Oryctolagus cuniculus: one gene and its partners. The protein of the gene in region 7 interacts with the protein of the main gene of each other region in a pairwise test. Links are inferred from orthologs where the notes say so. Each region holds a gene or a part of one and is shown on either strand. Other genes may lie near its edges.

Region 1 (3,950 bases), on a different chromosome or scaffold from region 7:
AAAACAAATTTAATGTTAACAAAAACATTTACCCTGAACTATACGAAGAGCCCAACTTTTCCAACAAATGAAAAGTGACTGACTCATGGCATCCTGGGAAAAGGCCCTGGGCTGGTGCTCCTGCCTTTACCGGGGTCAATGGGCTGAGGCGACACCTGTGACCTCCTGACCACGGGAGCAGGACGCTCCGGGGCCACTGGACGTGATGGCCAGCAGGGAGCCGCCCGCTGCTCTCTGTCTTCAACCACTGCCAGCGTCCCAGTGTCTACGCTGGAGAGCGGGCGTCTGGTGGCTGTGGCACACCTGGGGCCTTTCTGGACCGAGCGTGCTCTGGGCTTGCTTACGTACGTCTTCTAAAGATGATTAAGTGTATTGCAAAACCCAGACTGGACTCAGGAACTCAAAAGGCAACCAGAAACCAGGTGTGCGGCTCCTCCACTTGCCATGGGCGCCTTGGGGGCGTGGCTCCCCTCCCCCGCCTCACTCAGGGCCCTCCAGAGCCTGCCTCTGACCGCTGACCGCTGTCTGTATCCCCAGGTCCAGGGTCCTGACAGGAAGGCTGCACGGAGCCAACAAACTTACAGAAACCGAAAGCAAAAAGCTCTGTCGGGCACCGCCACGGCCTGGAGGCACCAGGGACCGAGTGACAACTCCACAGCGGCTGCTCTGGGCAAGCCGTGCCCACGCCGCCAGGGCCCTCACCAGTGACGGGGTGCTGCTGCCCACCAAGTTCATCTGGTCCCCAAACGTGGCCTGCTTTCAAAACCACTTTCCAGGGCTGGGGTCGTGGCACAGCAGGTCAGCTGTTACCTGCGATGCCGGCTCCCATATCAAAAGCACCGGTTCAAATCCCGGCTGCTCTGCTTCTGATCCAGCTCCCTAGTAACGCGCCCGGGAAGGCAGTGGATGATGGCCAAGTGTCTGGGCCCCTGCCGCCCACCCATGTGGGAGCCCAGGCTGGAGTTCCAGGCGCTGGCTGTGGCCTCCCCCGGCCCTGGCTGTTTTGGCTACTTGGGCAGTGACCTCGAAAACAGATGTCTTCCTCAGCCTTCCAAAAAAATCTTTAAAAACAAACAATAAAACAAAAACAACAACCATTCTCCACCGAAGAACTCTCCCTTGGCTGGCACGGGCGTGAGCCCTCCTTGAGGGCACCGCCTGGCGAGCTCAGTGCCGCCACCGCCACCGTCACCGCCGCGTGCCTGTCAGGCCTCCCGGACACGAGGTCTGGCTGCTGTTGCCCAAGCGCCATTGAGCAAGAGCAGTGCCGCGGCCCACGGAGGGGCAGGCGGGCAGAGGGCACACACGTGACGGGCCCTGCCCAGGCATGCCCTCCGGCCCTCGCCTCTCTGAAGGGCCAGGAACACAGAGGTCTCCTCACCAAGTCTAATACTGAAAGGCAGTGTGGGGGCGGTGCTGTGAGGCAGTCGGCTGGGCCTCCACCTGCAGTGCCAGCCCCCACATGGGCACTGGTTCCAGTCCTGGCTGGTCCACTTCCCATCCAGCTCCCCGCTATGGCCTGGGAGAACCGTGGAAGATGGCCCAAGTGCTCAGGCCCCTGCTCCCAGGTGGGAGACCCGGAGGAAGCACTGGACCGGCTCAGTTCCGGCTCTTGTGGCCACTGGGGACTGAACCAGCAGATGGAAGACCTCTCTCTCTCTCTCTACCTGACACTAAAAAAGAACGAACGAGCGAGAGAATCGGTGTGGGCTGAGCTGGGTGGTCTGGGCCAACTCGGGAGGTGGCCACCCAGGTCCACCTTCTGGACAGAAACCACACTAGTAACACCGGTCGGCCTCAATATTTAATTCTCAAGGATTCTTCGTGACCATATTAATAAATCACATCACGAACGGGAGGGGAAGAGGCCTCGCGCCCATACCTGAACTCCTTGGTGCTGCCCGAGGCGGGCGAGGCCGACAGGCTGCGTGACTTGGCCCGGCCCCGGATGGGGGGGCCGTCGCCCCAGGTCTCATCGCCGTGGCACGCCGAGCAGCGGTAGGCGGCGGAGTCTGGACTTAGCTCCTTGTTTGTGTTCATGTTTTCTTGTTCCGTTTCTGTAGCCGCTAAGCAATAACTTTGGACAGAAAAACACTGATGTCTTATTTAATAAACTAACAAACACAGATACACAAAACAGCGATAAAGCACACACATTAGGGGAAAGCTGCTGATGTCCGATTTACCCAAGTTTTTTGAAAACAGGCTGTCTCCACCCCAAAGAGGACAAAGACCTCAGCCATGAACCTGGGGCTTCTGGAAGGGTCTGGAGCCCTAGAAGCCGAGGAGTGAGAGGAGTGCCGGGGGCGGAGCTGTGGCGCTGCTGGCACACAGCAGCCCCGGGGTCAGTGCCGGGGCAGGACATGGCGCCCTGCACGGCGCCCGTCAGTCCAGGAGAGCCTGCACAGGCTACGTTTAAGTTCAGCACTCAGGAAACGATCACCAAGGCCGACCTACACTGAAGCCAGGGCGGGCCTCAAATTCCAAAAGAGGAGAAGGGAGAGAAGCTCCTCTCTGCCACAACACAGCAGAACCCAGAACCCAGAAACGGGGCCGGCGCTGGGCGCAGTGGGCAAAGCCGCTGCCTGCAGTGCCGGCATCCCATGGGCACCAGTTCCAGTCCCGGCTGCTCCACTTCCCATCCAGCTCTGTGCTGTGGCCTGGGACAGCAGTGGAGGACGGCCCAGGTCCTCGGGCCCCTGCACCCGCGTGGGAGCCCTGGAGGAAGCTCCTGGCTCCAGCCTGGCCCAGCCCTGGCTGTTGTGCTCATGTGGGGAGTGAACCAGCAGATGGGACATCCCCCCCCATAACTCTTTCAAAATAAGTAAATAAATCTTTTAAAAAAATACACACACACACAAGAATAAAAGTGTGACAAAGCCGTGCGGCCCCCACACTCCCACCACAGGGGTTCTGAACTCGCTCCCGACCCTGGCGAGGGCTGACGGCGAACCTCAGAGCCAGTCCACAGAGCACCCGGAAGGTGAGGGCGATGCCGACCCGGAGCCAAAGTCTACTCGCGGTTAACGCCAGGCTCAAAGTCCCGAGAACAAAAGTGGTGAGCTACACGCCCGCCGGCTGTGCCGCAGCGCGGCCTGGGCTCCGTGCCTGAGCTGCGGCAGAGCCCCTGAGGGTCCAGATCCCGGCTCTGGCCCACCCCGCCCGGCCCCAGCTGTTCGGGAGTGAACCAGCAGATGGAAGATCTGTCACTACATCTCTCGAATAAATAAATAAAATCTTGGAGGACAGCACTGTGGCGTAGCAGGTAAAGCCTCCACCTGCAGTGCCGGCATCCCATATGGGCGCCCATAAGAGTCCCGGCTGCTCCACTTCCCATCCAGCTCTCTGCTGTGGCCTGGGAAAGCAGTAGAAGATGGCCCGAGTGCTTGGGCCCCTGCACCCGCGTGGGAGACCTGGAAGAAGCTCCTGGCTCCTGGCTTCAGATCGGCCCAGCTCTGGCTGTTGGAGCGATCTGGGGAGTGAACCAGCAGATGAAAGACCTCTCTCTCTCTCTCTCTCTCTCTCTGCCTCTCCTTCTCTGTGTAACTGTGACTTTCAAATAAATAAATAAATCTAAAAAAAAAAAAATAAAACCTTAAAAGAATCAAAGAGGAACCGTAATGAAGAAACCGTTATGGTGACGGGATGGCTGCCACACACAGGGAACCAGCAAACCGGCCAAGGCACCTGCGGCGGCAGACGCCGGCACACGCCGGCACCGAGGCGGGTAAGAGGGCCTGGGGTCGTGACCCAGGTCCTGGGGTGCGGCCCGAGGCACACAGGGACAGAGTGTCGTGCCGGGGACACAGCGGGAAGAGGCCTGGAAAAGCTGGCCCCGACGCAGGGCCCGGGGCACAGCACGCAGGCAGCCCACGCAGCAGCCCACCACACGACCCACGACGTCACCCCAAAGTCAAGACGGGAGAGGCAAACTCGATACACAAAACCAA
Region 2 (4,249 bases), on a different chromosome or scaffold from region 7:
TTAGAGTGTGGTTGAATTGGAAGAAGGCTGAGAGATGCAAGAAACAGTCATGCTACAATGTATGGGTGGGTGGGGAGTGTTGGGAAGTGCAGTGTGGCTGGCAGAAGTGATTAGGCTTGATTTAAATTGAGTTTCCTAACACTGGTACTAGAGCAACGAGCAGCCAGATTTACATGAAATGGATGGACTTTTTTTCTGATCAGTAGTTGCCACAAAGGCAGAGTCAGAAATGAGCATGATGCAAACCATTGTGAAGGGCTCATTAGCTACATTTCACTTTCATGACATTATAAATGGCATCCCACATAGCTTTTGCCTGGGTTTCTTGCAACCTGAAATCAGTGCTTCCGTGAGTGGTAAATTTGCCTTTTTATAATCTGTCTGAAATAAAGAGTTTATTTTTAAGCCAGTTAATACTTATGAGAATATGTGCAGTTTTTAATAACTAAATATCAGTATTAAAACTACGATGCTGTATTTTTTAATCAAGTTCATTGTTTTCATGGCTTTTCTCCTACTACAGTTTATAAAATAAGATATGAATAATATGAGGAAATTCTGTCCTTGGGTAAATATAAAGAAAACTATTTTTGTCATGTTTCTATATTCTGAATACTGAGTTGCCAACTATGTGGGCAGAGACTGGGTTTTTGTTCATTAAGTAGTTCATATTCCTGTCTTACTGTCTTACAAAGCATGTTCGCCCCTGTGCTTTCTGTAAGTAGCCCTTTAAGGCTTCATGTGGGAAGTGTGACTTTTCTTTTCTCAAACATTTGTCTGATAGGTCTCCCAGTAACAAATCCAACTGTTTTTGACTCATCTAACAAAGATGCTATTTTCCCCCTGGAAATTACTCTTTATTGTTCTCTTTAGTGATCTCAGTGGCAGTCTGCTGTATCAATAGGAGTTGTGATAGTTAAATTGGAAAGTGTTGCACCCAACTAATTTACGTTAGTTTATATAGAGCAGTTGTATTGTAGTTACTATATTTGAGAAGGTGAACTTTTTATTTTTTAAACTCCTTTAATATGTCTTATTATCAAGTTCTAAAACAATTCCCTTAACAAACGAGTGATTTTTGTAGTCAAGAAACTGATGTTAACCAACTGTTAGTTTTTCTTTGGTGAAAAGGCATAAAATTGCCTTTTCCCTCAACCATGATTAGTACGGTAACATGGTAGATTTTCCATAAATCTGTGTTGCCAATGGCTGAGAGATAAGGTGAAGATGTTACAACTGTTGGGCCATTTTTTTTCTGTGCATCAATGGAACACATTGTACAGAAGCTCAAGCAACAGAAGCAAAATGTATAACAAAATTTAAAAATATGACATTGCTGTAGTTTGGATGATTGTGTCCCTTCAAATTTTGTGTTGAAATTTAATCTCCCATTACAGAAGTATAAAGAGGTGGGGCCTTTGGGCGATGATTAAGTCACAAGGGCTCTGCCTGCATTAGTAGGATGAATGCCTTTATAAAAGAGGATTCAGAGAGCTGCCTGGCCCTTTTATCACTTCTTCCATGTGCAGACACAGTGTTCATTCCTTCTGAGTTTTCCACAATATGAAGATGCCTCAAGAAGGGCCATCTACGGAACAGGTCTTCACCAGATGCTAAATTTGCTGGCACCGTGATCTTGGACTTTCCAGTCTCCAGAATTGTGAGAAACCAATTTCTGTTGTTTATGTATTACCCAGTCTAAGGGATCTTGTTATAGCCGCAGGAAAGGACCAAGATAGGCATGTGCCATTTCTGTTGTTTAATCAATTATGTATTACTAGTATTTACTAAGGCTATTCTAATTGATGCCCAAATAACACATGCATATGTAAATAACATTTGGTATATATGTGTGTGTGTGTGTATGTTTGTGTATAGATAGGTAAATAGAGATATTTTGAGTTTGGAGTTATGGAATAAATAACATTACACATTTTGGCAACTATCAGATTCTAGTTGGATATACAAAATTAATTAGCTTAAAGGTATACCTTAGTGTCTTGTTTCCTGGGCTTTTAATTTATGCACTTTAATCAATAATTTGTTTATATTGACCAAAATTTGATGCTGGAAATCCTCATTTAAATGAATACTGCTGTTTATGCTTTGAGCATATGTATCTTTTTTTCTTTCTTGTTCAACCTTCAAATACATGCTTACCCATTTATTCTACACTTAACGCAATACAATTAATAACATCGATTTGGGAAGCCAACTTAATTCAAATCCTAGCTCTGCATCTTATTTCTGTGTGTGTGTCTGTGTTTTGGTAAGTTAAGGCCGTTTTGCCTAACTTTATACCTCATCTAAAAAAGAGACTAATAGGAAGACTCTTTGGGGTTACTACGAAGATTAAATGACATAATATGAAGAAATAACAATGTTGTTAACACTCTAATAGTACTTAATACATATTAACTACCATGAATTGAGGCCTCAATTTTATTTAAAAGATGTGTATTTATTAGAAACGCAGAGTTACGGAGATGCATAGGCAGAGAGAAAGATGGGGGGTGTGTTCCATTCATTGGTTCACTCCCTAAATGGTCACAATGGCCAGAGCTGGGCCGATCCAAAGCTAGGTAAGCCAGGAGCTTCTTCTGGGTCTCCCACTTGTGTGCAGATCGTATCAGAGAGCTGGATCAGAAGTGGAGCAGCTGGGACTCGAACTTGTGCCCATATGGGATGCTCGCACTGCAGGTGGCAGCTTTACCCACTAGGCCACAGTGCCGGCCCATAGGCCTGAAACTTAAGTGTAGCACATCTTAACAACCCAAAAATATATGTATGAAGTTATAGTGAAAAAGATTCCTAATATATTTTTTTTTTATTTTTTGACCGGCAGAGTGGACAGTGAGAGAGAGAGAGACAGAGAGAAAGGTCTTCCTTTTTGCCGTTGGTTCACTCTCCAATGGCCGCCGCGGCCGGTGCGCTGCAGCCGGCACACCGCGCTGATCCGATGGCAGGAGCCAGGTACTTATCCTGGTCTCCCATGGGGTGCAGGGCCCAAGAACTTGGACCATCCTCCACTGCACTCCCTGGCCACAGCAGAGAGGGGCAACCGGGACAGAATCTGGCGCCCCGACCGGGACTAGAACCCGGTGTGCCGGCGCCGCAAGGCGGAGGATTAGCCTAGTGAGCCGCGGCGCCGGCCAAGATTCCTAATATTTAAAAGTAGAGCTGAGCATTAAATTATTAACAGAATCCAATAAGAATTAAATTAACTACACTTGCTTAAGAATCATATTTGATATTGGCGGCCAGCACTGTGGCGTAGCAGGTAAAGCTACCTCCTGCAGTGCCAGCATCCCATATAGGTGCTAGTTCAAGACCTGGCTGCTCCACTTCCAATCCAGCTCTCTGCTATGGCCTAGGAAAGCAGTGGAAGATGGTCCAAGTGCTTGGGCCCCTGCACCCATGTGGGAGAACCAGAAGAAGCTCCTAGCTCCTGGCCTTGGATTGGCCTAGCTCTTGCCATTGTGGCCATTTGGGGAATGAACCAATGGATGGAAGATTTCTCTCTCTCTCTGCCCATGGCTCTTTGTAACTCTGCTTTTCAAATAAATAAATAAATCTTATAAAAAGAATTATATTTGATATCCAATATGATTTCCAGATGATTCAGAAATTCCATACCTAGTTATTTAACTGAGAATGAAAAGTGAGTATACATAAAGACTTGTATCCTGCTGTTCATAGAAGCTTTATCCCTATCTGGTTTTCCAAAACCAGGAAGCACCTCAAATGTCCATCAAAAGATGAATGAATAAAGAAATCATGGTATATCTGTATAATGGAATACTATTAGCAAAACCTAAGAACTACAAACAACATGTGATAACATGGATGAAAAAAAAGTCTCAGTGAATGAAAAAATCCAGCTGTAAAATAATGTACATTTTATATTCCATTTAAATGAAATTCTAGACATCTGTAATGGTAAATGATCTAGTGATAAATGCTTCACGGTTCCAGTTTCCAGACTAGATCCTGCAAGAGAAAACAAACATGTTAAGATACTGGAAAGGAACGGAATATAATACATCAATATGATTTAACAAAAGGAAATGAGAAAGAGAAGAGTCAAATAAATAGAATAGAAAATAATAGAATTGATCAAGCAAAAGATGATCCTTTGAAATATGATAATATGCTTGCAAGATTGATTAAGATAACAAATGAATTATACACATATTAGGAATGAAAAAGAGATACTATTATAGATTCTACAGGCATTTAGAAGAGCATA
Region 3 (4,148 bases), on a different chromosome or scaffold from region 7:
AGGCTTCCTGGAGTGGGAGAGCCTTGTACTGCAGGGACCAACTCTGGGCTCGGGAACACAGAGGTGCGACCCACACACGTGGTCTTTCCAGGGGACCTGGGGGCTGGCCTGAGACAGGCGAGAGGGTGCGGCTTCCTCTGGGCCCTCTCCCGGTCCCCCAGCTCCAGAGTCGCGTCTTACACAAGATTGATGGTGTCTTCCTCCAAGAAGTTAACCAAGCTGCCTCTTGAGGAAAGTGGGAGTCCTTTGGTAGTGACGGTGCGGTTCATGGACTTGGGGTTCAGAAAGGGCTTCGGCAGCTGGTCGAGTGCACTCACGAGGTTGAGGTTTTCCTTCTTCAGCACGGCCTCCTCCCCATCTCCCACTTTACAGAGTGCGTTTGATGCCATCTGGTTGGTTTGGGACCACAGCCGTCACCATGCAGGACCACCGAGCTGGCAGGAAGCAGAGAGAAACTGCGGGGCCAGCAGACACACCGGAGGGGGTGCAATGGGCTGACTTCACAATCATCATCAGCTGTAACAATCAGGGGCCAGCCTGGCCCTGGGTTTGAGGCTCCCTGGGGTGCTGGCTGGGCCAAAGGGCCAGAGCCACAGGTAGGGTGGAACCAGGCACAAACCACAGCATCCCTCAGGCTCTACCAATGCCCACAACAGCCAGGGCTGGGCCAGGCCGAGGCCAGGAGCTCAGAACTCCATCTGGGTTTCTCCCATGAGCGGCAGGGACCCCGTCATCGGAGCCATCATCCCCATAGTGTCCCCAGACGCCTGCCTCTGAAGACCTCGGAACACTCGACACCTGTGCCTCTCTGCGCTGCCCTGCAAGGAGATAGAGGATGAAAAAGGCGCCTGGGCGGGGAGGGAGGTGCCTGGGGCTGGGGAGGCTGGCGGTTCCGGGCAGAGTCTCTGAGTGCGGGCGACGCTGGCTGCGGAGGCTGCTGCTCTCTGTCCTCAAACTGTAGGCGGCAAACCCCACTGGGTCGGGTGATGGCTCCCGGGTGCTCACAGCTCCCAGGGGAGGCCGCTCGGAACAGGGATACGAATAGCGCCTCCCTCTAGGTTTGTCAGAGCGCTCGGTAAAGTCATTTTCACGCTTCACCGAATCGCACGTGCGTGTGCGCGTGTTCCATATGCTCCAAGGTTTCGAGACAGAGAAGTAGGTGCCCCCTGCGTGCTTATCCTAGGATCCGTACCGGTCAGATTGCTTTGAGTCCTTTTCATTGCCTGTCTCTCCCCGACTCATCAGCTCCCAGAGGGTAGAGGATTGTCCAGGAGTTTAACATTTTTGTCCTAGGGCGGCCGTGGGCGCGGGGTGGGCGCGCAGGAACCGGATCGGGCTGGCGCGGCGCCAGGCGGCGGCTCACGGATCGCGGATCGCGGGGCCCGTAGGACCCGCGGGCGCGAGGCTGCGGCGGCTCGCCCTGTGTGGCCAGCAGGTGGCGCTGCGGGCCTGGCCCACGCCGCGCGCGCGAGCCTGGAACCCGGAAGCGGCCGGAGGCGGGCGGGCCCTGGGCGCCGGAGGGGCGGGTGGTCAGCCCCCTCCTGCTACCCGCCGCTCGGCGCGGCTCCTAGCCCCTTCCTCCCGCCAGCAGTGCGTCAGGACCCGCTGCACCGAGGCGTGCGAGGGGCGTCTGAAGGGGGCTCTGCAGGGACGCTCTGTCCCGCGCTGGCGGGGAGCATGGGCGTGCTCAGGGTCGGCCTGTGCCCAGGCCTCAGCCCGGAGATGGTCCAGCTTCTGCGGAGCCGCGGGATCAGGACAGGTGACGGCGGGCCGGCGGGCGTGCGTTCGTGCCGGGAAGCCGCGGGGCCACCCCTCGCCCGCCACACGCGCCTTTCCGCGCAGCCTCGGGCATGGGGCGGGGGGCGGGGACGCCAAACTCTGGGGAGCGGTGTCGCACCGGCCCTTGGGAAGCCCCTGGCCCCCTCGCTGCCCGTCAGCTACAGGTGTTTTGTTTTCAGTGGTGGACCTGGCCTCCGCAGACCTGGAGGAGGTGGCCCAGAAGTCTGGCTTGTCTTACAAGGTGAGCTCAGGAGGAGCTCCGCGCTGCGAGCCTGGGTGGGCTTCCTCGCCCCTGCCCAGGGCAAGGGAGCAGAGGCTAGCCCGAGATGGACGAGGGGAGCTGGTGAGGCCCAGGGATGGTTGAGTTCCCGGTTGTCCCTCTCAGTGGCCAGCCAGTCTGAGCTGCTCTGGAGCCTGAGCTGACACCCCCCCCCCCCCACCTTGGCAGGCCCTGGTCGCCCTGCGGCGGGTGTTGCTGGCTCAATTCTCGGCTTTCCCCATCAATGGCTCTGATCTCTACGAGGAACTCAAGAGCTCCACCGCCATCCTGTCCACGGGCATCAGGAGGTTCGTATGTGACTGAAGCTGCCTCTCAGCTCAGCCCTTGATGAGGGAGGCTGGAGAGAGCAGGTCCTTGGAAGCACTGTGGCTGTGTGGGAGATGGGGACCGTCCTGAGCTATGATGGTGGACCCCACCCCACCCCGACATCACCCCTTGCTGAGATCTACAAGATGTCAGTGTCTCCTTGTTACTCAGCACATTGGACTATCTCTTCTGTGGTCCTGCCTCCCATTTCACTTAAGGACAGCACTTTAAAAAAAAATTTTTTTTTAATTTATTTGAAAGGCAGAAAGTTACAGAGAGACAGAGGGAGAGATAGAGAGAAGTGTTCCATACGCTGGTTCACTCCCCAGAATGCCCCAGTGGCCAGAGCTGGGCCGATCCAAAGCCAGAAGCCTGGAGCTTCTTCCGAGTCTCCCATGCAGGTGCAGGGGCCCAAGGACTTGGGCCACCTTCTACTGCTTTCCCAGGTCATAGCAGGGAGCTGGATTGGAAGAGGAGCAGCCGGGGCTTGAACTGGCGCCCATATGGGATGCCAGCACTGCAGGCAGCAGCTTTATCTTCTACACCACAGCGCCAGCCCCAAGGGCTAGCATTTGCTGAGTGCCTACACTCGCATCTATTGACCATAGGGTTATAAGTGATCTCATCAGGGACCCCACAGATAGAGGCATGAACTCCACTTGAGTTTGGCCCCAGAGGAGTAGCAGAGGTGAGGCTCAAAGCCCAGGTGTATTTGAACCAGAACTTGGTTCCTTTCTCCACTCTCTGCAGTAGTAGAGAACAAGAGGACTTAACAGAAAGGAGCAGCTGCCTCCTGCCCTGATCGGCTGGGGAGGGAAAGAGTTGGAAGACAACAGGCATTTTCTGGCCAAATGAGTGCGGCCTCCTTCCTGGCCTATTTGTGCAGAGTTTGATGTCTTTGGGTTGGTTTAGCCTTTGCTGTTTCCATAACATTCTCTTGGCAAGATTCATACAGCATGGTGCCTGCCGCTGCTGCTGGGGTCCCGGTTTGTGATCCATCAGGCACTGGCTGAGTGCCTGCCTCCTGGGTGCAGGTGCATACAGATGGTATATATGCCCGGGAGGCCTTGAGGAGACTGGTGTCCACTGGGTATAGGAGAAAAGCCGGCGAACATAGGAGGAGTGAGTGCATAGAGGTGGCAGCATCCAGGAGGGAGTGATTAACAGGAAGTGGACTGGCCTCGGGCTTAGGGAGCTGATAAAACCGCCACACATGCAGAGAGCAATCAAGTGCTGCCCTGCAGGACTGCAGCTGGCTCCGGCCCTGCAGGGTAGGCCAGCCAGAGTGGTTCAGGAGGGCTCCAGAGGAGGCAGGCCTTGGGCACGGAGCAACAGATGGGCTCTCACCGAAGCTTGCTGGGAGCCGGGCACTGTGCTCAGTGTGTCGTTTCGTTACTTCACAGCCACCCGTGAGCGTGTTATCGCTAAGGTCGTCACTTGGGAGGTGAAGAAACGACTTGCTGAGGAGGGGGCGGCTAGTGAGCAGCAGCCCTGGCACACGCCCCGCCTCTGAGAGCGCCCCTCCGCCTTGCCTGCCTGCAGCTGGGAGCAGAGGCACAGGCAGTGGAGTAGAGGTGTGCAGAGTGCACGGGCGGCGGAGAGAGGCCAGGGAGGGACTGCTAGGCGGGGGTGGGGGTGCTGTGTGAGTCGGATCCAGGGCGGGTGGTGGTGGGAGATGTGTTGAATGAGAAATAGGAGAAGCTGTACCGCCAGGTGGGAGGAATCAAAGATGACTCCTCAGGTTCCCAGCCTTCATCGTGATGTGCTCCTGCCTGCCTGCCTG
Region 4 (3,941 bases), on a different chromosome or scaffold from region 7:
AGCAGCACCGTAAGTGTGCCGCCTTGAGTGGGCATTTGGTCTCGCCGGGAACCCCCGGTCAGGAGGTCTGCCCCGGGCTCCTGGCTGCTCCGGGCATCTGCGGAGTGAACCAGCGGGCAGCACCTCGCTCTAAGAGATACATGAAAACTTGCTATCTTAACTTTTATTATTGATTTCATTGGAGGGGAAATACATCACGCCAAATTCAAACAGCACTTAAAGGGGTCCGAGCACAAGTGCCCCCAACAGCAGGGCAGGGACCCAGCCCTGGGCCGGCCTCGGCCGCTCCTCAGCACACGCCCACAGCAGGACCTGGCTGGGCCCTCGGGACGCTGGGCGGCCGGGCGGGGCGGCGGCCGGTCCTGGACGAAGGCGCCACGGACTGCTTCCCAGTGTCCCTCCTTGCGACGACCTCTTGCCCTGACTCGGGTGGCCCAGGGCCGTCCTCCTGACCTAAGGGGTCAGCCCTGCTGTCCCAGGGCAGGCGCCAAGCGAGGGCAGCGCAGCTGTTCACCCACAGCGACTGCAGGCCCGCGACCACCTGCCCACTGCAGAGCAGGACCCCAGGGCACAGCCCCGGCCAAGCCACAGCCCAGCGACACGGGGAGCAGGTGCAGGCCAAGGGTGCGGGCCTCAGCACCCATCTCACCGTGCACCTGCCCCGGCGTTCTGGGGAGGTCCCGCGGGCCCTCCACAGCCGGGTGTCAGCAGGTGGGGGCTTCCGGGAGCGGGGCCGCCCCACAGAGTGGCAGCTCCTCCGACAGGGCACAGGGGCAGAGGCCCGGCCCGGCCCGGCCCGGCCCGGCCAGCCCAGCCTCCCCGCCCGCAGCCCTTCTCGGCTCCTCGCGCCTCGCCCTGCTTCCAAAGGCTTCGTGCGGCCTCCACACGCCTCTCCGGGCAGCCAGGACCCTCCCACCTCGGCCTCGGTCATTCTCCCCCAGGGAGCCCCTGCCTCGGAGGACTGCCCGCCCCCGAACGGCCCCCAGGCGCGACGCAGCCGCCCCAGCCCCTCCCCGACCAGGACGCCCCACGGCCCGCCAGACCCGCGCGCTCCTTGCTCGCAGGCCACACCTGGCGCGCTACCTGGGGCCGCCGCCGCCGCCGCCGCCGCCCGCGCGCCCGCCCCGCCCCGCCCGGGCGCACTGGGCATGCGCGGGGCGCGAGAACGCGCCCGCCGTTCCCAGCGGGCGAGGCCCCTTCCTGCGCCGGCCCCGGCCTGCCTGCCCCGCGCGCCGCCATGGAGCGCATCGAGGGAGCAGCCGTGGGCCCCTGCACCGCGTCGCCCTACCTGCAGCCGCTCACGCTGCACTACCGCCAGGTGAGCCCGCGCCGCCGCCGGCCCCGCACGGCCCCCGGCGCGCTCCCGCGCTTCCCGCGCCGCCCGCGAGGCCCCGCCTACCCCGGGCTCTGCGCGTGGGCCCCGCCCCGCCCGCGAGGCCCCGCCCACCCCGGGCTCTGCGCGTGGGCCCCGCCCCGCCCGCGAGGCCCCGCCCACCGCGGGCTCTGCGCGTGGGCCCCGCCCCGCCCGCGAGGTTAGCGGGGCAGGTGAACCGCGTCTGGCGCGGGCCCCCGCCTCCCTGCCCGGCCCAGACGTCCCTTTTTCGCCCTGGGACTCAGGTGCCCTGGGAGGTCGAAGAGGCTCCCCGGAGGCGGAGGGCTCGGCGCCGAGACTTGAAGGAGGAGGAGGTGGACAGAGGGCGCTGGACAGGGGGCGTGGCAAGGTGGGCTTCCTCCCCAGGGGCTTCGCAGGGCGGGCGCCTCCCGGAGGCCCGGCCCCCGCCCAGGACGTGGCCTCGGCACCGCGCGGAGCAGGTTCACCGAAGATTCCCGCTGGACCACTGGGTCGTGGCGCCTTCTCCCGCCTCTCCCAGGGCCTCACCGCGCCCCCACCTCGCGCCGGCCGGCCCACCCGTCCCAGGGCCGCGCCTCCTGCCGGGCTCCTCCAGGCCCCGCGGAGACCCTCCCTGGGTGCAGGCCGGCCTCCAGTGCCCCCTCCCATCCAGGCTCCTGCCACTGTCCCTGCCGAGTTGGCAGCGCTGGTAGAGGGGCTGGTGGGGACGTGGGGGACAGGGTGCCTGCTGTGGCTGCACAGCCCCCGGAGCACCCGTCCCCACCCCGGGCTGTGCTGGCCAGCAGGGTCGCACTGGCGCAGGTGCAGGCCAGCAGGGACAGGGCTGGGGTGCCCAGGGAGCCAGGGCCGCAGAGGGAGCGGGCAGGGCAGGGCAGCCAGGGGGCCCTGGTGGGGGCCAGACAGCCCTGAGGAGGACGGGCCCACGTTTCCACCCCAGGCCCGTCCTCAGGGTGCTGTCGCCAGGGTCCTGCCCGTGGCTGGCGCACGGTGGCCGCTGGAGCTGGGCAGCCTCTGGCAGGCGTAGGTCCAGCCCCCTCCGAGAGGCCTCCCTGGGGGAGAGGGGGCCAGGGAGCGGCACAGCCCGCCCGCTGCAGGCCCCAGGACGGTGTCCAGCTGGTGGGTGCTGGCCCCGCCGACCCAGGCCTTGCTAGAGCTGCTTTGGCTGCCCCAGCCCTCAGGGCCTGACCGAGGGCCCCAGACCTGTGTGGGTGACACCTAGGAGAGGCAGCTGGGGGGGGCAGCCTGGAGGGGCACGCCTTCCCCGAGCCGGCCCTGGTGTCAGGCAGGCCTGGGCTTGCCTGCCGGGTGGTGCCCAACGGCCTTCCACTGGAAACCAGGCTCAGCTGGGGCTGACTGCTCAGGCCTCCCATCCCCTCCCGTCACCTCCTCCAGGAAGTCCTCAGGAAGGCTGACCCTTGGCATCCTCCCTCTGCTGTCACCCCAGCTGTGCCTCCTGTCTCTGAGGCTCAGACCTCTGTCCATCTCAGGTCCCGGACAGAGCCCCAGGGTCCTGCTCTTGGCTGGCGCACAGTGGACCCAGTGGACCCTGGAGCTGGGCAACCTCAGGCTGGCCCCCGGTCCGGCCCCGTCAGCGGAGACCCTCTTGGGTGGGAGTGGGCCGGGGGAATGGCACTGTCTGCTGCGGACCCCAGGGTGGATGCTGGCCCCAGGAGCCCTGCCTTCTACCTGTTGGACCGGCTGCCGTGGGGAGTCCGGCCCCGGCCCCCTCGTTGAGCACTGCTCAGGCCCTCCTGGTAGCCCGGGCAGGGTGCAGGCTGGGGAGCAGGACCACGGAAGGCAAGAGGGGCTGCCCAGGGTGGAGGGGTCGGGTCTCCGAGCCCCGCAGGGCGAGCAGCCACCTCTGCCGTGGGATCCTGGTCTCTGCTCGGCCTGAGCTCCCTGCGCTGGAGCCCCGGGCCCTCTTGACCAGTGCAGGCCGCGGCCCCTCCCCAGACATCCCTCGTGGGAGCGGTGTGACGGGCCCGGCGGGCCGCCTCGGTGGTGGCAGCCCTCAGCCCGCCTCCCCACCGCCCCGTCTCTTTCAGAACGGCACCCAGAAGTCCTGGGACTTCATGAAGACCCACGACAGGTGAGAGCCCGCTGGCCCGCCTCGGGAGCGGGCTCCGAGCCCCGCCCCCGCTCAGCCTCCAGTTTTCCTGTCCTGAGGGCTCGGTCGTAGGCCTGGTGGCTCAGCGGTAGTGGACGGGGCCTCTGGGAGCTGGGGGCGCCTCCTGGTGCCCTCGCCCGCATGTCTGGGGTGTGGGCTGTGCTGGCCCAGCTGCGCAGCGTGCCCGCCCCCGCCCTGCCAGCTGGCACAGGGAAGACCGGGTCCTGGCCTGATGCGTGAGCCCTGAGCTGTGTGGGCTCGGTCTCCCCATCTGAGCAAGGGGCCCGGGAGTGGGTGTGGGAGGCACGCTGGGCACGGGGAAGCCAGGAGGGCTGCTCCTGTGCTAGCCCCCCCCCCCCCCCCCCCGCAGCGTGACCCTGCTCCTGTTCAACTCTTCCCGAAGGAGTCTGGTGTTGGTCAGGCAGTTCCGGCCAGGTGAGGCAGGCAGGGTGGGCTGGGGTGGGGCACCTCGGGCGCTCTGGG
Region 5 (3,500 bases), on a different chromosome or scaffold from region 7:
CGCAGGGAGTGGCCGCGGCCAGCGGTGGCCGCAGAGCCCCGGGGCCGCGCGCGGGGCCGCGGGGGCTCGGCGGGGCCGCGAGGCGGGGGCCAGGGTCGCGGGGCCGCGCGCAGAGACCCGGGAGGGGCGGGGCGGGTCCGCGGGGGCGGGGCCAGGGACAGCCGCCGAGTCACGGGGCTGCGCGCGAGGGACTCGGGGCGGGGCGGGGCCAGGATGGCCGCAGATTCACGGGGCTGCGCGCGAGGGACTCGGGCAGGGCGGGGCCGCGGGGGCGGGGCCGCGGGGCGGGGGTCACGGGGCTTCGCGCATGGGCTCGGGGGCGGGGCCGCGGGTCGGGGCAGGGGGCGGAGCCACGGGGCTTCGCGCCGGGACTCGGGGGCGGGGCCGTGGGGGCAGGAGCGGGCCGGGGCAGGGGTCACGGGGCTTCGCGCAGGGGCTTGGGGGGCGGGGCCGAGGGGCAGGGAGGCGGGGCCGGGGCAGGGGTCACGGGGCTTTGCGCAGGGGCTTGGGGGGCGGGGCCGTGGGGGCGGGAGCGGGCCGGGGCAGGGGTCACGGGGCTTCGCCCAGGGCTTGGGGGGCGGGGCCGGGGCAGGGAGGCGGGGCCGGGGCAGGGGTCACGGGGCTTCGCGCAGGGGCTTGGGGGGCGGGACCGGAGTCACGGGGCTTCGCGCAGGGGCTCGGGGGCGTGGCCGGGGTGGGGCGGGGCGGCCGCGGAAGTTCCCGGGGGCTGGGCCGGGGTTTCCCTGGGAAGGCTCAGGAGGCTGCCCGGACGCCGGGCTGGGGGCGCCCTGGGAACTGGGGAGCGGGAAACCGGCCTGTTCGGGAGGAACGAAGCGTGCTATGGACTTGACCCCGGGCCCCCAGGACGCCGTCCCGGGGCTGGGAAACGGACCTGACCCGGGTGGGCCCTCTCTCCCCTCTGCCCCCCAGGTCGGCTGCCAGCCTCGAGTCTCCCACCAGCCCCAGCCATGAGCTCCTCCCGGAAGGACCGCCTCAGCAGCCCCGAGCCCCTCCCGGTGGTCATCATCGGTGAGTGGCCGCCCGGGCTGGGGAGGGCCGTGCTGTGCCCCGAGGGCCAGGTCAGCGCTGCGCGAGGCCAGGCCTGGCTTCTGGGCAGCTGTCCCCTTTAATGACCGCGTGGCCAGCACTGAATGGCCCAGGGTGGGCGTGTGCACAGCAGTGGTCAGGGTGCCCGGGTTCCAATCCCAGCTCCTGGAGCGGGCGCCCCAGCCGGCCCCGGTTCCAGCGCCTGGGCCGCTGCCACCCACGTGGAGACCTGGACGGGAGCTCCTGGCTGCTGGCCCAGCCCTGCCTGTTGTGGGCATCTGGGGACTGAGCCAGAGGGCGGGAGCTCTCTGGGCCACCTTGCAAATAATTGGAAATAGCTAAGACTTAAATCGCAAGCCCTAAAAACTGCTTGTTAAGAAGTTCCAGAGAATCCGTCCCAGAACGCAGGGGGCGGCCCGGGGCGGGGACCGCGTGAGGGACACAGCAGCGGGCCAGGGTCCCGTCCCCAGGTCTAAGATGTGGGCGGATGCCCTCCGGCACACACGTGATGTGGCTGGTTTAGTGAGTCAGGAACGGGTGGATGTGAGCGGGGTCAGACTCTGCACAGGAGGAGGGAAGAGGGGGTGTGAGGGGAACAAGATGCCAGGCGGGGCCTGGGTGATGGGGGGATGTGAACGCCCCCAGGGGCAGCGTCCCCCCCTCCCCAGGGCTCGGCACCCTCGGGCACATGGCCATCCGTGAGGTCATGTCCACCGTCCCATCGGTCTCTGCCTTGTCCTGGATTCAAATCTCTTCAGCTGTGTGACCGTGGGCGGGCCGATTAACCTCTCTGTGCCGCTTGCCCCAAGGCTGAAGGGGGAGCAGCACGGCCGTGCAGCCTGACACCCGGCCAGAGAAGCCCCCGCTGCTCACTGCTCTCTCGGGCATTAGAAGCAGCGACTGGCCACGAGCTTAGCAAAGGACGCGTCTCCTTAGCTTGACCTTCACGAACAAGGAGTAAGCCAGGTCATGGCCGAGCCCGGCCGGGGTCTCAGCGCTGCCCTCTCTCTGCAGGCAATGGCCCCTCGGGCATCTGCCTGTCCTACCTGCTCTCCGGCTACACGCCCTACGTGAGGCCGGACGCCGTCCACCCGCACCCCCTGCTGCAGAGGAAGCTGGCCGAGGCTCCGGGGGTCTCCATCCTGGACCAGGTGGGCCAGAGCTCCGCGGAGGATGCCCCACTGTGGGAGCCTCCCCCCGCCCCGACGTGTGCAGGGAAACACGAGGAAGCACCGGGAACCAGGGCTCCTCGTCACACACGTGTGCACGCCACGGCCGGCAGCTCTGCTCCCCAGGGGACACGCTTCTGGCTGTCCCCACTAGGTGGCGCTGCTGGACCCAGTGTGCGCGGTGCCCGTGATGAGACCCCCATCCCCTGCCCCTGGCGCCCTCGCTCTTCTGAGCGGGGCCGAGGACGCAGCTCTGGGTGGTGCTGCTGGGGTCTGCGTGGTCGAGGCGCCTGCTGGGCAGGCCCTCTGCGGCAGCGACGGCATCCCCACGCCTGACCGCGCCCTCGCAGTGGGGCTGGCTGCAGGACAGGCCACTGGCTCCAGGGCCGGCTCAGCCCTCCCCGCGGCCCACTCACCTGCGCCCCTCCCCCAGGACCTGGACTACCTGTCTGAAGGCCTGGAAGGCCGCAGCGAGAGCCCCGTGGCCCTGCTGTTGGACGCCCTCCTGCGCCCAGACACGGACTTCGGGGGGGACGTGGAGTCCGTCCTGACCTGGAAGCGGGAGAAGCACCGAGCCGTCCCCCACGTGGTCCTGGGCCGCAACCCCCCCGGGGGGGCCTGGCACGTGAGTAGGGGGCCACGCCGCCTGCCCTGGGTCCAGCTCCTGCACCCCCCACCCCTTCTCCCGCCCCATGCCCTGCAGCCCAGGCTGGCCTTGGGCTACAGAGTGCAGGGCCAAGGGCTCCTCTCGCCTGCAGTCCATCGAAGGCTCCATGGTGACCCTGAGCCACGGCCAGTGGATGGGGCTCCCGGACCTGCCCGTCAAGGACTGGATGCGTGTGAAGCGCAGGTGAGTGGGGACCCCCGGCTGGGGCCACAGGGTGCTGCCCCCTCTTCCCCCAAGGCGGGGCCCCAGGCTCAGTAAGGACAGCAGTGCCCGGGAGTGCGCGCACCGCCAGGCTGGGCCTGCCCCAGGGCCCCCCAACCCCCGCTGCTGCTCCCCGCCCCCAGGTCGCGGGATCCCCTGCTCTGAGTGAGCAGCCCCCGGAGAGTGATGGGAGGCGCCTCCTCTCCCGGGCACGTTGTGGATACTTGTGCATTAAAAGCAAGGTCGCGGCACAGGAGGCTGCCGGTGGAGAGCGGGAGGCAGGGCCGCCGTGCCCGGGGCGGCTCCCCCGGCCCCACGGGCCAAAGGGCACCCCTGAGTAGCCTGTCCCGGGGCGGGGGCTGAGTCGGGCTGGCTCCCCATCTGCAGGCCCTCGGCTCTGGGGTGGGAAGCCCCCC
Region 6 (3,500 bases), on a different chromosome or scaffold from region 7:
CACAGGTGAGTGCATGAGACTTTGAGACATCACATAACTACCAGGGGCACAGTTGGAAGTGGAGCCAGCACTTGAATCCAGATCTGTGTCTGCGATGCCAGTCCACAAGCTGAGGACTGGGCCGAGCCAGGAGCTTCTTCCAGGTCTCCTTGGTGGGTGCAGTGGCCCGAGCACTTGGGCCATCTTCCGCTGCTTTCCCAGGTGCATTAGCACGGGGCTGGATCAGAAGTGGCGTGGCCGGGACAAGAACCCATGCTGCTTGCCGGCGCCGTGGCTCAATAGGCTAATCCTCCACCTTGCGGCGCCGGCACACCGGGTTCTAGTCCCGGTTGGGGCGCCGGATTCTGTCCCGGTTGCCCCTCTTCCAGGCCAGCTCTCTGCTATGGCCAGGGAGTGCAGTGGAGGATGGCCCAGGTGCTTGGGCCCTGCACCCCATGGGAGACCAGGAAAAAGCACCTGGCTCCTGGCTCCTGCCAGGATCAGCGCGGTGCGCCGGCTGCAGCGGCGGCCATTGGAGGGTGAACCAGCGGCAAAGGAAGACCTTTCTCTCTCTGTCTCTCTCTCTCACTGTCCACTCTGCCTGTCAAAAAAAAAAAAAAAAAAAAAAAAAGAACCCATGCTGCGATGGTATGCCTGCGTCACAGGCAGCGCCAGACCCCTGCTGTGTGTGTGGTCAGTCATGTGTACATCCCAGATTAATAACCTTGTGATCAAGATGACTTTTAGCAGCTGGTAGCCCTGGGGAACGCCATCTCTTGATCCAAACAGTGCTCTCTCCAGCCAGCAGGCCAGCAGAACGCCAAAGGGAACGCTCAGTTGTCCGGAAGTCAGCAGGAGAAGTGCTAGGTTCGGGCAAATCTGAGAGGTGGCATAAAGACCCTTTGGCGGCAGACAGCGGTGCCTGAGAATATTTGGAACTCTTGACTCCACCCCTTCCGCTGCTGCTCTGCGTAACCCGTGTTTCCAGTCCCCACCGCGGCCTCAGGGAAGGCCTTTGTGGGTTCTGATTCCCTGCGCATCTTGTTGGGTAACCAGCGCGCCGCAGTGTGGTGACTAAGGACAAGAGGAGAAGAGCTGCCGAGGGCAGCCTGTGGGCTTCCGGCCCTGGCTGGCAGCGCTGCGTACCCTCTCACCCCGAAGTCTTTCTACTCAGTGCCTAAGGCCTCTGTGTTGCTGCTTCCAGGTTGCGGGCAGAATCCAGTCCGACAAGCCAGTGTGGGTGCAGGCATCCCCTACTCCGTCCCGGCCTGGAGCTGCCAGATGATCTGTGGTTCGGGCCTGAAAGCCGTGTGCCTCGCCGCGCAGTCGATAGCCCTAGGGGACTCCAGCATCGTGGTGGCAGGCGGCATGGAGAACATGAGCAAGGTACGGCCTCGGACGGGACGGCCCCGGTGACCTCACTGACGGGTCCTGTCCCTGCTCGTCAGAGCCGGAGCCACACAGTTAATGAATAAGCAACACGGGTTCAACCTTGACCCCCACCTCAGTGCTAATCATTCTTCAGGTTGGTTGGGAAATCCTAATTGAGGAAAAATCCTCCCTACCCGTGTGAGTGGAACGAGTGTACATTTCTTAAGCTGTGCTTATGAAGCGTGTAATATTAAAGCCCCAACAGGAGGGTGCTTCCGGAAGTTAATGGAAGCGCCAGAGTTGTGGCACCAGCCTCCCGTGTTCCTGGGATTAAGTCGCAGCTCTGCTTACAATCCAACTTCCTGCTAATGTGCCCAGGAGGCAGCAGACGATGACCCAAGTACTCGAGTCCTTGCCACCCACATTGGAGACCCAGATGAGGTTCCTGGTTTCTGGCTTCGGCCTGACCCAGCCCCAGCTGTTGCGGGCATTTGAAGAATGAACCAGGGGATGGAAGATCTCTCTCTCTCTCCCTCTCTCTCTGACACTCCTCTCAAATAAATACATAAAAGCATAGGCTGTCTGCCAGTGTCTGCTTTAGCAGGAAGTTGGAGTGGAGCACCAGGCAGGATTCAAGCCCAGGCCTCCGTGTGGGACGCAGGCACCTTAACTGCCAGGCCAGGTGTCTGCCCCTTTACACACTTCGGAGGTTCCCACTTACTGGTCAGCTGCCATCCTTGGTGACAGAGGGAGAGAGACGGATCTTTCATCCACTGCTGCACTCCCCAAACGGCCACAGCGGCCAGGGCTGGGCCAGGCTGAAGCCGGGAGCATCACCTGGGTCTCCCACGTGGCTTGCACGTGGGCCATCTCCTGCTTTCCCAGGTGCGTTAGCAGGGAGCTGGATCAGAGAGTAGTCAGGACGAAGGTGGCACTCATGGGCTGCCTGTGTGGCCGGGGCGGCCTGACCCAGGACAGGAGTAATCACCGCCCCGCCTCAGCCCGCGTTTGCTTCTCGTTCCCAGGCGCCACACTTGGTTCACCTGAGGACAGGAGTGCGGGTTGGGGAGACGGCGCTCGCTGACAGCATACTCTGTGACGGCCTTACCGACGCCTTCCACAACTACCACATGGGTGTTACGGGTGAGCACTCCCACAGGGTCGCGAGCTCGCTCGCCGCCTGCCCCATCGCTCCTCACGGGCAGATCCTGTCCCTGCTGTAGGACGAAGTCCCTCTGGTGAACTGCGGTGCAGCGAGTCAGTGTCTCCCCTGACCGTGTGACCATGTGACTCCCTGACCAGCAGAGCACTTAGAAGGGGGGTCCCTTGGAGTTCTGCAGCCCCCATAAAGAGGGTTCTGTGCAGAGGCCAGCCGGTACTGCTGGGCCCTCACTGTGCGATCTGCGCCGTACAACTGGGTCGAGTCATCCGTGTGCAAGGCCCTGTGGTCTAGGTTTCCTGCAAAGTAAGTGGGAAGTCGTGAGAAGAACTCGTGTCTGTGTGAGACTTCGAGTTAAAGAAGCAGACCCGAGAGGTGAAGCGCCTTGCCCAGACGCGTGCAGCTTGGCTCTGGCTCGTGAGTGTGAGGCAGGAGAAAGGTATTGAGAGGGGCAGGACTTGGTCAGCAGGAAGTGCGGGCAGAGAGGGGAGGGCCTGGCGGTGAGGGCTGCAGCAGGCCAGGCCGAAGGGCAGGGCAGACCCTGGGAGCTGCGTGCCGGCCAGGGTCTTGTCACAGCGTCGGGTCAGTTTCTCAGGTGTGGTACTCGGGCCTCCCGTCACCAAGGGTTGTAGATTCAGGTCCTCGGTCTTGTCCAAGCTGTGACGCCACCAAAATGTGCTTGTTAACCCGTAACCGGAAGCCCCTCAGCACGTGACTGTGTTTGAAGACAGGGCCTCTAAGGACGCAGAGTGGACAGCGAGGCCATGACGGTGGGCTGTCGTGCGATCTGAAAGGTGTGTGTGAGAGGAGGGAGCTGAGACAGACGCCAGGCGTGAGCACGCACAGGACACCGCGAGGGGGCGGCCGTCCGCAGGCCAAGGAGGCGCTGAGCGAGGGATCGCCCGGGCTTGTGCCACTCACCAGCTCTCCGTCTGGGGCACGCTACGCTGGTGCAAACAGCCAGAGAAGCAGGGCCTGCTGGGGTGTCTGG
Region 7 (3,500 bases):
AACCTCCTTTGTTCATGGGTTGGAAAAAGTGTTTAAAATGTCGGTTATGCAAAGCAATTTTACAGATAAAATGCAATCCTCACTCTTGCAGTAGCACTCCTCATAGAAAAAAAACCCTATAATTCTCTCAGAAAAACAATAGACTGAAGAGCCAAGGCAAGCTTCAGCAGCAACACTGGAAGCATTACGATGCCTGATTTCAAGACAGATGACAGAGCTACAGGAACCAGAGAGCACGGTACTGGCGTGAGAACACACACACAAATGGGACAGAACAAACGACAGCCTCTGCTATTAATGGTGCTGGGACAACTGGATATCCACATGCAGAGAGCTGAAACTTGACACATGCACACAACCCACCTCTCAATCACTATAAAAATCAACTCAAAATGGACCAAAGAACTGAAAGTATTAAGTTACTGGAAGAAAACATGGTGAAAGTATTTCAAGACTACAATATAAGCAATGCTTTTGGAGGTAAAATTCCAAATGCTCGGGCAAAATTAAGGCAAAGACAGACAAGTGGGATTCCATCAAACGAGGAAGCTCTGCGCAGCAAAGGAAACAATCAGTGTTGTGAGGACACAACCGACAGAATGACAAAGAATATTTGCAAACTCTTCATCTGACAAAGGAGTAATATCCAGAATACGTAAGGAACAAAAAACTTAACAAAAAAAGTGCAATTTAAAAATAGGCAAAGGATCTAAAGACAGTTCTCAAAAAAGTAAACACAGATGGCCCACAAATAGAGGAAAAAGTGCATGGTCATTAGCAGGGAAATGCACATCCTAACAATGAGGTGTCGTATCGCCCCAGCTAGAACAGCTATGAATGCTAGCAGTATGCAGACGAGAGGGAACTGGGACACACTGCTGCAAACTCGCAATCTTCAAGCAGTGCAGGAGGCTCCAGCCATCTGGCTGCTGACATGTAGCTGAAGACAATGACATCGGCACGTGAGATACTGCACTCCCACGCTGACTGCAGCACTATTCACAACAGCAGACACGAATCAACCTCGCTGCCCAGAGACGGGTGAATGGTTTAGAAAATGCATGGTGTATGCACAATGGAGTATTATTCAGCCACAAAAAGGGGAAGTTGTGTCATCTGCAGAAAAACGCACAGAACCAGGGGCTACTAAGTGAAGTACCCCATGTCCTCCCCAACACGTAGAAGCTAAGCGGAGGAGTTGACCCGGATGTAAGGTCATGGTTCCGAGGCTGTGACCTGGGAAGGTCGGTGACAGGTAGCAGAACAGTGACGGAGGATGCAGTTCTGGTGTTGCTCAGGAGCACGACTGCAGGGACCAGGAACTACGAGGAAGGAGGCCCAGAGGGAGCAATGAGGGTATGTCACAAGGGTGACAAACAGGGACAGTTTCAGGTCCTACTCCATGAACCTGTTGTGTCTGCAGACTAGGAGCATGACCTGGGAAAGGCATCTTCTAATGACTTTCCAATCCCAGACGCTGGGCACAGGGTCTCCCACAGGGAATGTCATTGCCTTGGTGTCGGGGGCTAGGCACGGACCTGCTCCGTGCACAAGCACTCAGTAAGCTATTAAGTACAACATGGTATCTATCCCACACACCACGGCTTCTACAGGCTGAAGTCATCAACTGACATCAAAGTTTCTTGTGAAATAGCAGGTATTTGACAGTAAGTCGTTTTCTCATTTAATGACATTCATGTTTTTCAGCTATCGAATTATTATAAATGATATGTAGGACAACAGATACAAAGCACTACATTTTAAAGGTATTCATTAAACCTCAGAGGTGGTTTTACTTCAACTGAGTATTGGCAACGTCGTGAAAAAAGTCACATTACCCTGATTAGCAAGATCGGTAACAACTGTAACGAGCAACTTCACTTATTCACAAGAGACTTTTATTGGTTTTCAAAAAGCAATGTTATTTTAAGGTACAGTTTATAAACAGTAGTCATATCCTGATTTTTGCCAACATGAAAACGTGTTCCTCTCAGGAGTTCATGGACTACAGCACACATGTGGCAGACACAGGAGTCCTGGCGAGCAGGGAGCCAGTGACCAGGGAGAGTAGCAGAATGTGCCCAGCCTCCCTCCCTGGTTGGCTGAGGCCTCCACCCACCCACCCACCCACCCACCGCAGGGCTGTGCGCTCTCCTCCCATCCCTCCAGCAGCTGGTTTCTCAGCGTCTGCAGTTCCGCTTTCCTGAAGGTGCAATCCCACTCACATTCCGCCTGCACACTTCTCAGTCACCTACCAAACATGCAGAGCCCGATATGCACTAGAGCTTTCCGAAGGTCAAGTACACGCTAACAAAGTCATTCATTACACCTACATTTTCTTGATTTTAACGATTTGTTCGAAAGATTTCTGCCTTCATTAAAAATTTATACTCAGGTAAATAAAAATATGATGGTCATAATGTTTGCTGTAGCCAGCTGTAGCATAGAGGTTGCTGAGCTAGAAACACACTTGGGCGGGAGCTGTCCAGTGTTATTTAGCCTTAAGAAAATGCCAGCAGAAGGAATGGGATACAGGCACAATACTCCGTCTCCAGCCGTTACACTGAACTGTGCATATCCTCCAATTCTGTTCTATCCCAGGTACTTGTATCACTGCAAAGATGTCGCACTACGCAGAAACGCGGCAGGCAGCCTGGGCTTCTGCATCGTGGGAGGGTATGAAGAACACAGCGGAAACAAGCCTTTCTTTATCAAATCCGTGGTGGAAGGCACACCAGCGTACAACGATGGAAGGATCAGGTAATAAAGACAACTGCTGCACAGAGAGCTTACATTCAGGTCCTTTGCTTCAGACACACAATACTGGCCCCATCTGAAATAAGGGCTCTTCCTTTTGAGGGGAAGGGTGGGCAAGAAAATAAAACACTTGCACAGCATTTAACATAAAACACCCCGATGATCGATCGCACGTGCTCTCGGCCCTACACTGCAGGTCGCTCTACCTTGAGCACCCCTTTTAACACAAGCGGAATGACTAGCATGCTTAAAGAATCTAAGGGGGGGGGAGACCCTTAAGTAATCAAAACCAAACAAATCTAGCAGAAATGAGGCCACCAAAATCAATCTGCATAAACTTCAGCTAAGAAACCAAACATCCCTCCTGCTGCCTTGTTCAGGTGCGGTGACATTCTCCTCGCAGTCAACGGCAGGAGCACAGCAGGAATGACGCACGCCTGCTTGGCTCGAATGCTGAAGGAACTCAAAGGAAGAATCACCCTCACTCTGGTGTCCTGGCCTGGCACATTCTTGTAGCATCAATAACGGGTCAGAGAACATGACACACGGGCTAAGCTGGAACAATGTATTTATCTTGTCAATTTTTATAGTGAACGAAAACTTTGTGAAAATGTCAGAGAAGGCCTAATCTAATAAAGCCAATTGCACCTCAGAAAATAGGACTCTCAAAAAATAAAAACTACTACAGAATGGTCTGATCTAGGATGCAGCACTGCACTGTACTCCTTCATTTGTATTTTGTG

What was found.
Region 1: the proteins of LNX1 (region 7) and NADK interact in binary tests that used the Homo sapiens proteins (3 or more experiments, as listed by UniProt). The link is inferred for Oryctolagus cuniculus from reciprocal best matches to the Homo sapiens genes LNX1 and NADK.
Region 2: the proteins of LNX1 (region 7) and melanoma-associated antigen B18 interact in binary tests that used the Homo sapiens proteins (3 or more experiments, as listed by UniProt). The link is inferred for Oryctolagus cuniculus from reciprocal best matches to the Homo sapiens genes LNX1 and MAGEB18.
Region 3: the proteins of LNX1 (region 7) and RAD51D interact in binary tests that used the Homo sapiens proteins (3 or more experiments, as listed by UniProt). The two-hybrid records come from large-scale screens. The link is inferred for Oryctolagus cuniculus from reciprocal best matches to the Homo sapiens genes LNX1 and RAD51D.
Region 4: the proteins of LNX1 (region 7) and NUDT14 interact in binary tests that used the Homo sapiens proteins (3 or more experiments, as listed by UniProt). The two-hybrid records come from large-scale screens. The link is inferred for Oryctolagus cuniculus from reciprocal best matches to the Homo sapiens genes LNX1 and NUDT14.
Region 5: the proteins of LNX1 (region 7) and OSGIN1 interact in binary tests that used the Homo sapiens proteins (3 or more experiments, as listed by UniProt). The two-hybrid records come from large-scale screens. The link is inferred for Oryctolagus cuniculus from reciprocal best matches to the Homo sapiens genes LNX1 and OSGIN1.
Region 6: the proteins of LNX1 (region 7) and ACAT2 interact in binary tests that used the Homo sapiens proteins (3 or more experiments, as listed by UniProt). The two-hybrid records come from large-scale screens. The link is inferred for Oryctolagus cuniculus from reciprocal best matches to the Homo sapiens genes LNX1 and ACAT2.

Annotation. Positions count from the first base shown.
Region 1 is NC_091438.1:163,979,411-163,983,360, reverse strand, and holds the start of NADK (NAD kinase), read right to left. Parts: upstream 2,801-3,950; 5' UTR 2,366-2,800; coding exon 2,187-2,365; intron 2,078-2,186; coding exon 1,883-2,077; intron 1-1,882.
Region 2 is NC_091453.1:12,178,088-12,182,336, forward strand, and holds the start of melanoma-associated antigen B18, read left to right. Parts: upstream 1-1,449; 5' UTR 1,450-1,660; intron 1,661-4,249. UniProt on the Homo sapiens protein: May enhance ubiquitin ligase activity of RING-type zinc finger-containing E3 ubiquitin-protein ligases. Proposed to act through recruitment and/or stabilization of the Ubl-conjugating enzyme (E2) at the E3:substrate complex.
Region 3 is NC_091448.1:39,164,444-39,168,591, forward strand, and holds the start of RAD51D (DNA repair protein RAD51 homolog 4), read left to right. Parts: upstream 1-1,348; 5' UTR 1,349-1,677; coding exon 1,678-1,759; intron 1,760-1,958; coding exon 1,959-2,020; intron 2,021-2,227; coding exon 2,228-2,346; intron 2,347-4,148. Other genes in the region: FNDC8 (fibronectin type III domain-containing protein 8), read right to left, coding at 181-389. UniProt on the Homo sapiens protein: Involved in the homologous recombination repair (HRR) pathway of double-stranded DNA breaks arising during DNA replication or induced by DNA-damaging agents. Bind to single-stranded DNA (ssDNA) and has DNA-dependent ATPase activity.
Region 4 is NC_091451.1:47,132,777-47,136,717, reverse strand, and holds the start of NUDT14 (uridine diphosphate glucose pyrophosphatase NUDT14), read left to right. Parts: upstream 1-1,141; 5' UTR 1,142-1,237; coding exon 1,238-1,318; intron 1,319-3,396; coding exon 3,397-3,440; intron 3,441-3,828; coding exon 3,829-3,893; intron 3,894-3,941. UniProt on the Homo sapiens protein: Hydrolyzes UDP-glucose to glucose 1-phosphate and UMP and ADP-ribose to ribose 5-phosphate and AMP. The physiological substrate is probably UDP-glucose. Poor activity on other substrates such as ADP-glucose, CDP-glucose, GDP-glucose and GDP-mannose.
Region 5 is NC_091449.1:65,745,147-65,748,646, forward strand, and holds part of OSGIN1 (oxidative stress-induced growth inhibitor 1), read left to right. Parts: intron 1-930; 5' UTR 931-968; coding exon 969-1,029; intron 1,030-2,061; coding exon 2,062-2,198; intron 2,199-2,649; coding exon 2,650-2,841; intron 2,842-2,974; coding exon 2,975-3,066; intron 3,067-3,500. UniProt on the Homo sapiens protein: Monooxygenase catalytic activity. Involved in regulation of cytokinesis; promotes RHOA activity, probably acting locally at the midbody in late cytokinesis.
Region 6 is NC_091436.1:8,274,901-8,278,400, reverse strand, and holds part of ACAT2 (acetyl-CoA acetyltransferase, cytosolic), read left to right. Parts: intron 1-1,183; coding exon 1,184-1,365; intron 1,366-2,375; coding exon 2,376-2,493; intron 2,494-3,500. UniProt on the Homo sapiens protein: Involved in the biosynthetic pathway of cholesterol.
Region 7 is NC_091439.1:110,430,600-110,434,099, forward strand, and holds part of LNX1 (E3 ubiquitin-protein ligase LNX), read left to right. Parts: intron 1-2,601; coding exon 2,602-2,760; intron 2,761-3,137; coding exon 3,138-3,273; 3' UTR 3,274-3,500.